Linked DNA regions of Xenopus tropicalis. The protein of the gene in region 1 purifies or fractionates together with the protein of each later gene. This does not show direct contact. Links are inferred from orthologs where the notes say so. Each region holds a gene or a part of one and is shown in the gene's direction. Other genes may lie near its edges.

Region 1 (5,075 bases):
TCCACAATTTTGGTTCTCAAGTCCTCAGACAGTTCTCTTCTCCTCTTTCTGTTGCCCATGCTTAGGGGCAGATTTACTAATCCACGAATCCGAATCCCGAAAGGGAAAAAAATCGTATTGGAAACAAAAATTTGTTTTTCGTATTTTGCGCGACTATTTTGTCGGCGTCACGCTTTTTTTGTATTGAGCTATAGTAAACGGCGGAAAAACCAATCCGATTTTTTCGCTACGGCGATGAAAAAGTTGCGGAAAATATATGAAAAAGTTGCGACGGCGACGAAAAAGTCGCAATAATACTGATCATTACAGAAAAACCGCATTCGGACGCCTTCGGACCGTTCATGGATTAGTAAATCTCCCCCTTAGTGTGGCACACACAGACACGCAATGCTAAGTGAACTTCTCTCCTTTTTATCTGCTTTCAGGTGTGATTTTTATATTGCCCACACCTGTTACTTGCCCCAGGTGAGTTTAAAGAAGCATCACATGTTTGAAACAATCTTATTTATCCACAATTTTGAAAGGGTGCCAATAATTTTGTCCAGCCCATTTTTGGAGTTTTGTGTGACATTATGTCCAATTTGCTTTTTTTCCTCCCTTTTTTGTTCTGTTCCAATACACACAAAGGGAATAAACATATGTATAGCAAAACATCTGTTACTGCAATACTTTTCTGTGAGAAATACTTTCTGGGGTGCCAACAATTTTGACCATGACTGTATAGCTGCTGTTTAAAGGAACAGTAACACCAAAAAAATTATAAATTTAAAAAAAACTAAACTATAATGTACTGCTGCCCTGCACTGGTAAAAGTTTTGTGCTTGCTTCAGAAACATAACTAGAGTTTATATAAACACTGGTGTGTAGCCATGGGGGCAGCCATTCAAAAGAAGAAAAGGCACAGGTTATATAGCAGCTAACAGATAAACCCTGTAGAATACAATGGTGTCTTATCTGTTATCTGCTATGTAACCTGTGCCTTTTCTCCTTTTTTCCAGCTTGAATGGCTGCCCTCATGGCTACACATCAGCTTATTTATATAAACTATAGTAGTGTTCCTGAAGCAAACACCCCAGTTTTACCAGTGCAGGGCAACAGTACGTTATGTTTCAATTACTTTAAAACACTTTCATTTTTTGGTGTTACTGTTACTTTAAAGCAGTGTCTGCCTGTCCTTTCTACTCTCTGCCCTGGTGGCTCTGGGGTTTGAAACAATGTAACACAAGGCAGCAGACTGACAGACCTGCCTTGCTGGAGGAGCCTGACCTACATTGTTTAAAAAGTCATAACCAGGGGTTCAGCAAATGCTGCTTTCTATAGCAATTACAAATTACTTTTAAAGCTCTAAAATGTTTAATAAATGCATATTGGAAAGTTGCTTATAGTTATGTTTTCTTTTATTAGGCAAAACATTATTTTTGGTTTTGACATGTCCTTTAAATTAACCACAAAGTTAATTTGCTGGGTGATTATTTTCAGAAATACTGTTTTCCCCTAGTATACATATTTTATCAACCTAGACTCATGTTTTTTTTGTTCTTCAATGCTATGCTTTATTATGTAGCTGTACAAAGCACTGGAATGCCACGCATTAGCCACCATAGCCGGGCAGTCACGGATAAACCACTCCTCTTAATCGAACGCAATTCGGTGGCAGCTATTTATTTTACTTTTGCGCCCCCTGTAGGCGAGCTTTTTAGTTAATGCCAGTCTCCATAATAAATGTGGTTACATTTCTCTTGAAAACTCAATTTCTCAATAATGCTCAGAACTTTGGAGTTACCACATAGGGCTACTATATTATCCTTATCATACCAAATTTATAATCATTCAGACTGCAACTAATAAAACAGAACTCCTAATTGCCCCACTCTTTGCCCCTTAAATTACCCTGCTTGATTGGCGGGGGGCAGTGGGTGGGAATGTGCTGTGTTACCGTAGCAACAAAGAGAGGCGGTGTGAATTTAGGATCTGCCCCCTGACGCCATCTTATGGTGGAAGAGGTGGCTCCGGGAGAGAGAAGAGTGGTGAGAAGTGATGGTCTGCATAGTGAGAGGGGAGTTTTGCCGTGTGTGGGGTAGTGTTGCTTTGCAAACGGGGAAATGAGGGAATAGCTGCAGCCAGAGGAATAGAGAGCCGTGATATTGCAGGAAACTGTGTGTGATGCTTATTAGAGAGCTAGCAGTACAGTGACGGATCAGTATCCGGCAGGCAAGCTGCACCCCAGCACTCCTAACCTGCTGCACACTGTCCTGACTTACCGCAGCAATCCCCCCTCCCTCCTATTACAGAATGTTTCAGGACTTTAATCATCTCCAGGTTGATCAGTTTAACACAATAAACTGCTCCAGGATTGCCAGAAAACTGGCTGAGGAGTATGGAGTATTATATATTGAGAAAGGGGTGCACATAATAAGAATTATTGTTCCCTGCAATACTAGCATAGAAAATTAGCAGTCTATATAAACTATATAACTAGATTTTAAAAATGCTTTCAGAGAAAACCTTCCATGCAAACTTGCAGCAACTTTACTATTAGTTTTAGGTAGTAACATTAACTACACTTTTACACATTCCTAAAATAAGCCATAAATGCTGTAGTCTTATATTAGGAGTATATCTCTGCTTTACTTGTGTCTTGACTGGAATGGAAGGGTTTGCCACCGCACACCTCTTTAAATATCCAACTATGGGAATGCATGCTGAATGCATCAAAACAAATATATTTCATTTTGAGATGTTAACATACTTTTCACTAATTTAGGAAGCTTAACACAGTAGCCTAGCTGGACATCAGGTGTTGGGATTGCATACTAGCCACTACAGCACCTTGTTAGTGAAGATCTGTGCCCCCCAAAGATGCCCTTGTAGCTCCCCATTTTTTTCAGCTGTTTTGCACCATGCAATCTGTACAGCTGTCAGTTACTGGCTCTTAGGGACCAACTCTCAATATACAGTAGAAGTCACTGTACAAGGCTGTGTAATTCATATTAATATATGAAATTCACAAACTGAAATTACTTATCTGAACTGCCCATATATAATTTTCTTTTTTTTTTTTTTTAATAATCCAGGAAATACACAGTAGTGTGCCTGTGGCTCACAGGGACCATTTCCCCATCCCCCTAAGGCTGGCAGATTCATATAACCCCTCCCTTATCTTTTTCCATATAAAGGTGATACATTCTGGGGCTTGAAGTCCCTGTGCTTCCATGGTGGGAGGTGCATAAATTCTCTGAGGAGTTCCTCTGAGAGGAACTTCACGTCTCTGGATAATATCACATGACAAAAGATCAAGGAGCGGTTGTATGGATAGTGAAAAATAATCCCTGTTAATTAGAAGCAGAGAAGCAGATGATTATGTATTATTCTCAATCTGAGGAATACTGTTAAGTGTTTATCCTTGTTTTTTTACATAAACCCAACTGACCCTATGTCAGAAAGGGGATATATATCAGTCCTGATGGTGTCTGCACTCCAAGGCTTTAGTATTCTGTGGGGTGCACAGCCAAAATCTGAGTATTTAGCATGAAATAATCCATGGCCGGCACACCCTTAAAATTCAAAAAAATTTTTTTATTGAAAACTCATTGTTTAAAAACCTGGTTTTTTTTTGAATTTTAAGGGTGTGCCGGCCATGGATTATTTCATGATATATATATATATATATATATATAGATATATATATATAAAATATTAGTATGTAATATGTTATATATGTAATTAATTTTAACTGGATACAATTAAGGTTTTGTCAATGATTCCTATATATGACCAAAAGATTTTAAATGCTTGTTATAATGTGCTGTGAGTGACTAATTATTAATATTAACACATATTTATAAAGCACCAATATGTAGCCCTATAAACTAATAATAAGTATGTATGGATTAAACATACAAATTTACATACAGAAACAACCAATAACTAATGCAAGAGGTAAAGCATTGTCCAAATGAGTTTATAATCTGAAAATCTTGTTTAAATGTTTTCCTTGGTATATTTATTATTTTTTTCAATATTTAATTCCTGGTATTCCTGGCAGCACATTTCCACAGCATATACACCATACTCACACACACACACACACACACACATACATACGTACAGTGATGCTTGGAAGTTTGTGAATTTGATCTAAAACATCATCTGATCTTCAAACAAGTCCTAAAAGTAATAAGAAAACCTAGTGTAACAAATGAAACAAAAATTATTATATTTGGTCATGTATTTATTGAAAAAAAAATGATCCAATAACATATCTGCATGTAGCAACAATAAGTGTATCTTTAGGATTATCATATCATTTGAAGGTGAATTCAGTCTGGTGTTTTCAGTCAATGGGATGACAATCAGGTGTGAGTTAGAGACCCTGTTTTATATAAAATAAAAAGGGGGTACCAGCAAAGCCTGATCACACATACAACACATTTGTGGATGTGTATCATAGCTCAACAAGGTGTCTAAGGACCTCAAAAAAAAGAGTTGTTGATGCCCATAAAGCTGGAAAAGATTACATGATCTCAAAAGAGTTTGGACTCCACCAATCAACAGTCAGACAGATGGTATACAAATGGAGGAAATTTAAGACTGTTGTTACCCTACCCAGAAGTGGTTGACCATCAAAAATAACTCCATCTGGAAGGTGTCTTATAGTCCGAGAAGTTACAAAGGAAACCAGGGAAGCGCCGGAACTAGGGGTAAGCAGAAGAAGCACCTGCCTAGGGTGCAACAATGGGTGTGCCAGGCAGGTACCTCTCCTGCCTACTCCTACTCTGCGCTCCCTTGTCTTTGCCCCCACCACTTGTTATTACATGATGGGGGCAAATGAGAAGGATACTGGAAGAATGTTTTGGGGATGGATAAAGCCAAAATAGAACTTTTTTACTTAAATGAGGAGAGTTACATTTGGAGAAAGTAAAACACTGCATTCCAGCATAAGTACCTTTTCCCATCTGTGAAATGTGGTTGTGGGAGTGTTCTGGTTTGGGCTGGTTTTGCTGCATCTGGGCCAGGACAGGTTGCCATTATTAGTGGAATAATGAATTTTGAACTATACCGGAGAGTTCTAAAGA
Region 2 (4,590 bases), on another chromosome or scaffold:
GGCTTATTCTCGAGTCAATAAGTTTTTCCAGTTTTCTTAGGTAATATTAGGTACCACATCTTATATTCAGATCGGCTTATACTCAAGTATATACAGTACTTACCACAATACTTTTTTCCAAGTTTTTTGAACTCCAAGGTCATTTACACCTTTGTGCTTATTTTCCGAAGAAACTCTGTCTGTCTGTGTGCCAAAGGGAAAATACAATATTAGCCTCCAAATTTGTCCTTGAAGAATAGCTTCAACAGGGATTCATTGAGCCTGGCACTATAGGGGACCCACAGGAATCTGGAATACATCTCCTCAACAAAGAGAATGAATTCTCACCAATGTCGTTAATGCATCTACTTTTACTCCTACCTCTGCTTGGCATCCAGTTAGCAACACAAACGTCTTATGTTGTTCCTGTCAACTTTAGCACTTCCACAGTGGTACATTCCCATTACCTTATGCCATGGCAATAAGGCATATGTGGGCATATTTGCACTGTAATAACTCATTCAGTTAGTTCTAGCTGGCATTCATACCTGGCACTGATTAAAGTGTTTCATGTGCTTTAGTCCTTAAAACAACTTTACACATAAATAAAGTTGTGAGTATGAGTACAATTCCAACCTGACCAGATTCATGTCTGGCAATAAAGAAGTAAATTTGGAAGTGATCGTAGAAATTAATTTCAACTTCTATATATAAATCCATCTGACAAAGTAATGTGATTTATTTTTATACAGTTAAAATAAATGCATTTAACCTTCTCACTTTTATAAATGATGTTTCTATTATATTCTTTTTCTGCCTTTATGCATTACAGCTCAGTGGAGAATGGGAGACCGCCTGATCCAGCTCACTGGGCTGTGGATGATGTTGTAAATTATTTCAAAACTGCAGGATTTGAAGAACAAGCTAGTGCATTTAAGGAACAGGTACATGGAAAGGACTCCTTACAACTTGATGTTCTCATGTGGCTCTACTGCATATAGTTTCTAAAAGGATTCTGCACCTCTTTAGATGCTTTGCCTAGCGACCCGTCAATCAGAATGTACACTTCAGCTTCAGCTGGACATTGTACATTTTCCCACTAAGTGGAGTAGTGTTGGGCAGTTCACAAGTGGAGGAGGGTTTTACTGCAGGACTTAACAACATAGCTAGCAACAGAGCTAAATTCTCAGAATGCAATTGTATCATAGCCACAGTGCTACTCTTTTACCCATAGATTCTAAAAGTCCCATAAGAGTGACAATCAAGCATACAGCAGCACTTTGCAATGTATACTGTACCTTGGCTCAGACTAATATTAGGGCTCTAATGCCATGTAACAGAAAGAAAGATGTAAGGACTTCATCTTCCTTTCATGTCTGTTTCTTATTGCAATTTACAATACAAAATCTCTGTATTAAGTCAAGGCTTAAAGGAGAAGGAAAGTCATTTTGCCATTTTACTGCCAATAGATTTGCCACATTAGTGCCACCTAGAACAATATATTTATTCTGCAGGAACCATTACTATACCTAAGTAAACAGCTTAAGACAGCAGCAGCCATTTTAAGTAGCTTCCTTACTGTAGTCTAGCCGTTATATCTGAGATCACACATTCCTAAGGGAGGGGGGAGGGAGTTCTTAGCGTTCTGGTGGGAGGGGGGAGCAGCAGAGACGAGAGAGCTGCGCAGACTCTGGCCACTGGAATTAAGGGTGTTTCTGAGAGAGGAAGTCAGACATTGAAACATCATGTTTACAAAAAAAAGAGACAAGAAATCCTGTGTTTCTTTTAAATAGAGGACTCTGTAAGTGCTTATGGCTGTATTTACCTAGACTTAGTTTTTATCTTTCCTTCTCCTTTAACAAACAGACACTATCCCAGTTTTTTTCTTTAGGAAACATGCTATGTAAATAGATGAAATGCATGTTGTAGTGGCTTCCTTTGAAAAATTGCCCCAAAGGAAGAAATTAGCACTTTTTCTGCAAATTCCGATTTTCTTCACACATGCTGTTTTAGAGATGGTGATTTTATAGTTGTTTCATTGATTTGGGATTGATTATAAGGATTCTTTATCAATAGCAAATAGGTTTTGATTAAATGGCAAGCAAAAATAATGACTGTACTTTCTATTTCTTTGTTTTAAAGGAGATTGATGGAAAGTCGTTACTGCTTATGACAAGAAATGATGTTTTGACTGGACTTTCATTAAAATTAGGCCCTGCACTCAAAATCTATGAGTACCACGTGAAGCCTTTGCAGACCCAACATTTAAAGAGCAGCTCTTCATAAGAATGAAGCAAATGGAGTGTAGAATATAGCCACCTCCTAACCAAATATGAACCTCCACCCAGACAAATACTTGATTTAGGAACTGAAAGAGAAACTGACAAGCTGTGCGTGCAGAAATATTTTGGAACTTCCCGGATAGTTTTCAGAGGGAAGTACACTGGCATTTTTCTGCTGACTTGAGGAAAAGGCAATGAAAATAGTTGATGATTCTCTAGAAATCTCCAGTGTTTTATAGAAAACATTGAACTGCTTGAATGTTAAAGGACTATTGATTTAAAACAATGAACATTTTTCTAGATTTTGCTCCAATATTTCCTTTGCCGTATGTTTAGGTCTGTCAGAAACAATGGCAACTCGAGTTACAGGAAGACACACTTAATACTGTGTAAATGTGATTCTAGTCAATACTGCTTGAGACGTGCATTGAAATTTCAGTTTGATCCAAGTGCTAACAGCATGTGGCTGGTTAAATGTTACAAGTCCTATCATCTCCTGCAAGCCAGTGTTTTTATTTGGTAAACTATTTGATGGCTCAAAGTGTTATCATTTCCACAGCATTTTGAAGTAAGTGATGAACTGACTGTATAGGCATCAGAAGATGTTGCTAGCCAAGTTGTCTGTTGGGTTTCTGTTCACTAACCAGTATGTCCTGAACCACATTGCCCTGCCCAAGGCTTTGCTATGCATTGTGGGGTTCAACATCTGTGGAGTCCTCTATCAACTGGAACTTCTCCAGCACTAAACTGCAGATCTAGAATCAGCAGTTTAACAATTACTGAAGCTCTGCATATACATATATATTTGAGGAATCATTCAAATACATATCATTCTTAAGATGACAATCATTAATGCAAAATATATTTTTATGTGTTTACATTGATCATTCCTGGCAGCCTTACTGATCGTTTGGCACTGCTAAAAGGAAATAGAATATATGTATTTTTGTGCTGGAGACTTAATATTACTTTTATTGCTGCTTATTCTCTTTTGTGCATTAAACATTGGGCTGTGCACAAATACCAGTCATTATGTTGGGGTTCAGGACATGGACAATGATAGGTGCAGCTAAAAATAAAAATACAGCATCCTTCTTCTATAGTAGATCCAGCTCTGCCATTATATCAAAACACCCTGATACAGTGTTTTATTCAAGAACCAGCAGTACTGCTGTGCCTGGAGCTTCCCGGCGAAGGCCGTGAGTTAGTGTGAGGTGGCAGGGGCAGAAATGATATTTGTAGTTGTACTCAGTTAGGCACATTTAAAATATTTCCACAGAAATAAAAATTTCCAAAAAAATCAAATATTTCCTTAAAATAAGTTACAGGCCACCATATAGAACTCACAAAAAAAAATAGGACTGATCAATGCACATTTCTGGTTTCATGCTCCTATAAACCTTTGTCTCCAAGTCTCCTAGAATCAACCATTTCCTGTTGATAGGGTTAGGCTTATGCCACCAGTGCTGATTTTAAGCCTGTGTTTATATGGAGGCCAGGAATCAGCTGATCCACTGGCATCAGCAGTCCCCTTTGCACCCAGAGCCACCGTGTTGCCCTGGATTCAGACACGCAGAGTGAATTTTTTTGCACCAAAACGTGATACATTTTTGCACTGAAATATGCTTTGTGTGTCTGAATCGAGGCTGATGCAGTGATTCTGAGTGCAGACACAGGAGGACATGGTTACAATAGGAGGGGCTGTTTCTCAGCTTGCGCTTTTATACAGACTGAGAAAGAGCCCCATGTGGCCTTAGCTCATAATATATAGCCTATTGAGTTCTATAACACAGATACAAACCTGCCAGTGATGACCAATATCTCAAGTTCTACAACTTTTTGATTACTTGCAGCCTGAGAAAACTGGTATTTTACAAAGCAGGTTTGTACAAGTACAAATCAGGGTACTCTGAATTTTTTCTTTCAGACAGAAATAAAAGAATATACAGTATATAGATTTTGAGACCCAATAACAGTATTAGTAACAGTAGTTAGCCTAATATTTTCTTCAGTATAAGTAGAATGAGCATTATTCCCTAGTATACATAACATGCTCTGATGCAGGCCCAGGTCTGATTTGTGCCTCCCTATCAAACCTTCTGCCTGCTCACTCATGTCCCTTATTACAACCTTTTTCTTATTCTCGGGTTTCTTATAAATCCATATCCTTAAGCTCCCACAAAGTGATACAGACCCATGATATTTCTAAATGTAACATGTTAAATGGATATATTAAATTGTTCCCTTCTTTTCCTTTACAAGCAGAAATTTTTTTAGCATGTTTTGTATAAACAAATACTGTGTCCAATATTTGGCATATGTAAATCCA

The links. The genes of interacting proteins can lie anywhere in the genome.
Region 2: the proteins of l3mbtl3 (region 1) and samd13 purify together in Homo sapiens (affinity purification with mass spectrometry; 3 studies listed by BioGRID and IntAct, counting the BioPlex papers as one, with this or other methods). This does not show direct contact. The link is inferred for Xenopus tropicalis from reciprocal best matches to the Homo sapiens genes L3MBTL3 and SAMD13.

What each region holds. Positions count from the first base shown.
Region 1 is NC_030678.2:83,383,797-83,388,871, forward strand, and holds the start of l3mbtl3 (lethal(3)malignant brain tumor-like protein 3), read left to right. Parts: upstream 1-1,954; 5' UTR 1,955-1,991; coding exon 1,992-2,056; intron 2,057-5,075. UniProt on the Homo sapiens protein: Is a negative regulator of Notch target genes expression, required for RBPJ-mediated transcriptional repression. It recruits KDM1A to Notch-responsive elements and promotes KDM1A-mediated H3K4me demethylation.
Region 2 is NC_030680.2:77,728,042-77,732,631, reverse strand, and holds part of samd13 (sterile alpha motif domain-containing protein 13), read left to right. Parts: intron 1-811; coding exon 812-923; intron 924-2,121; coding exon 2,122-2,265; 3' UTR 2,266-4,590.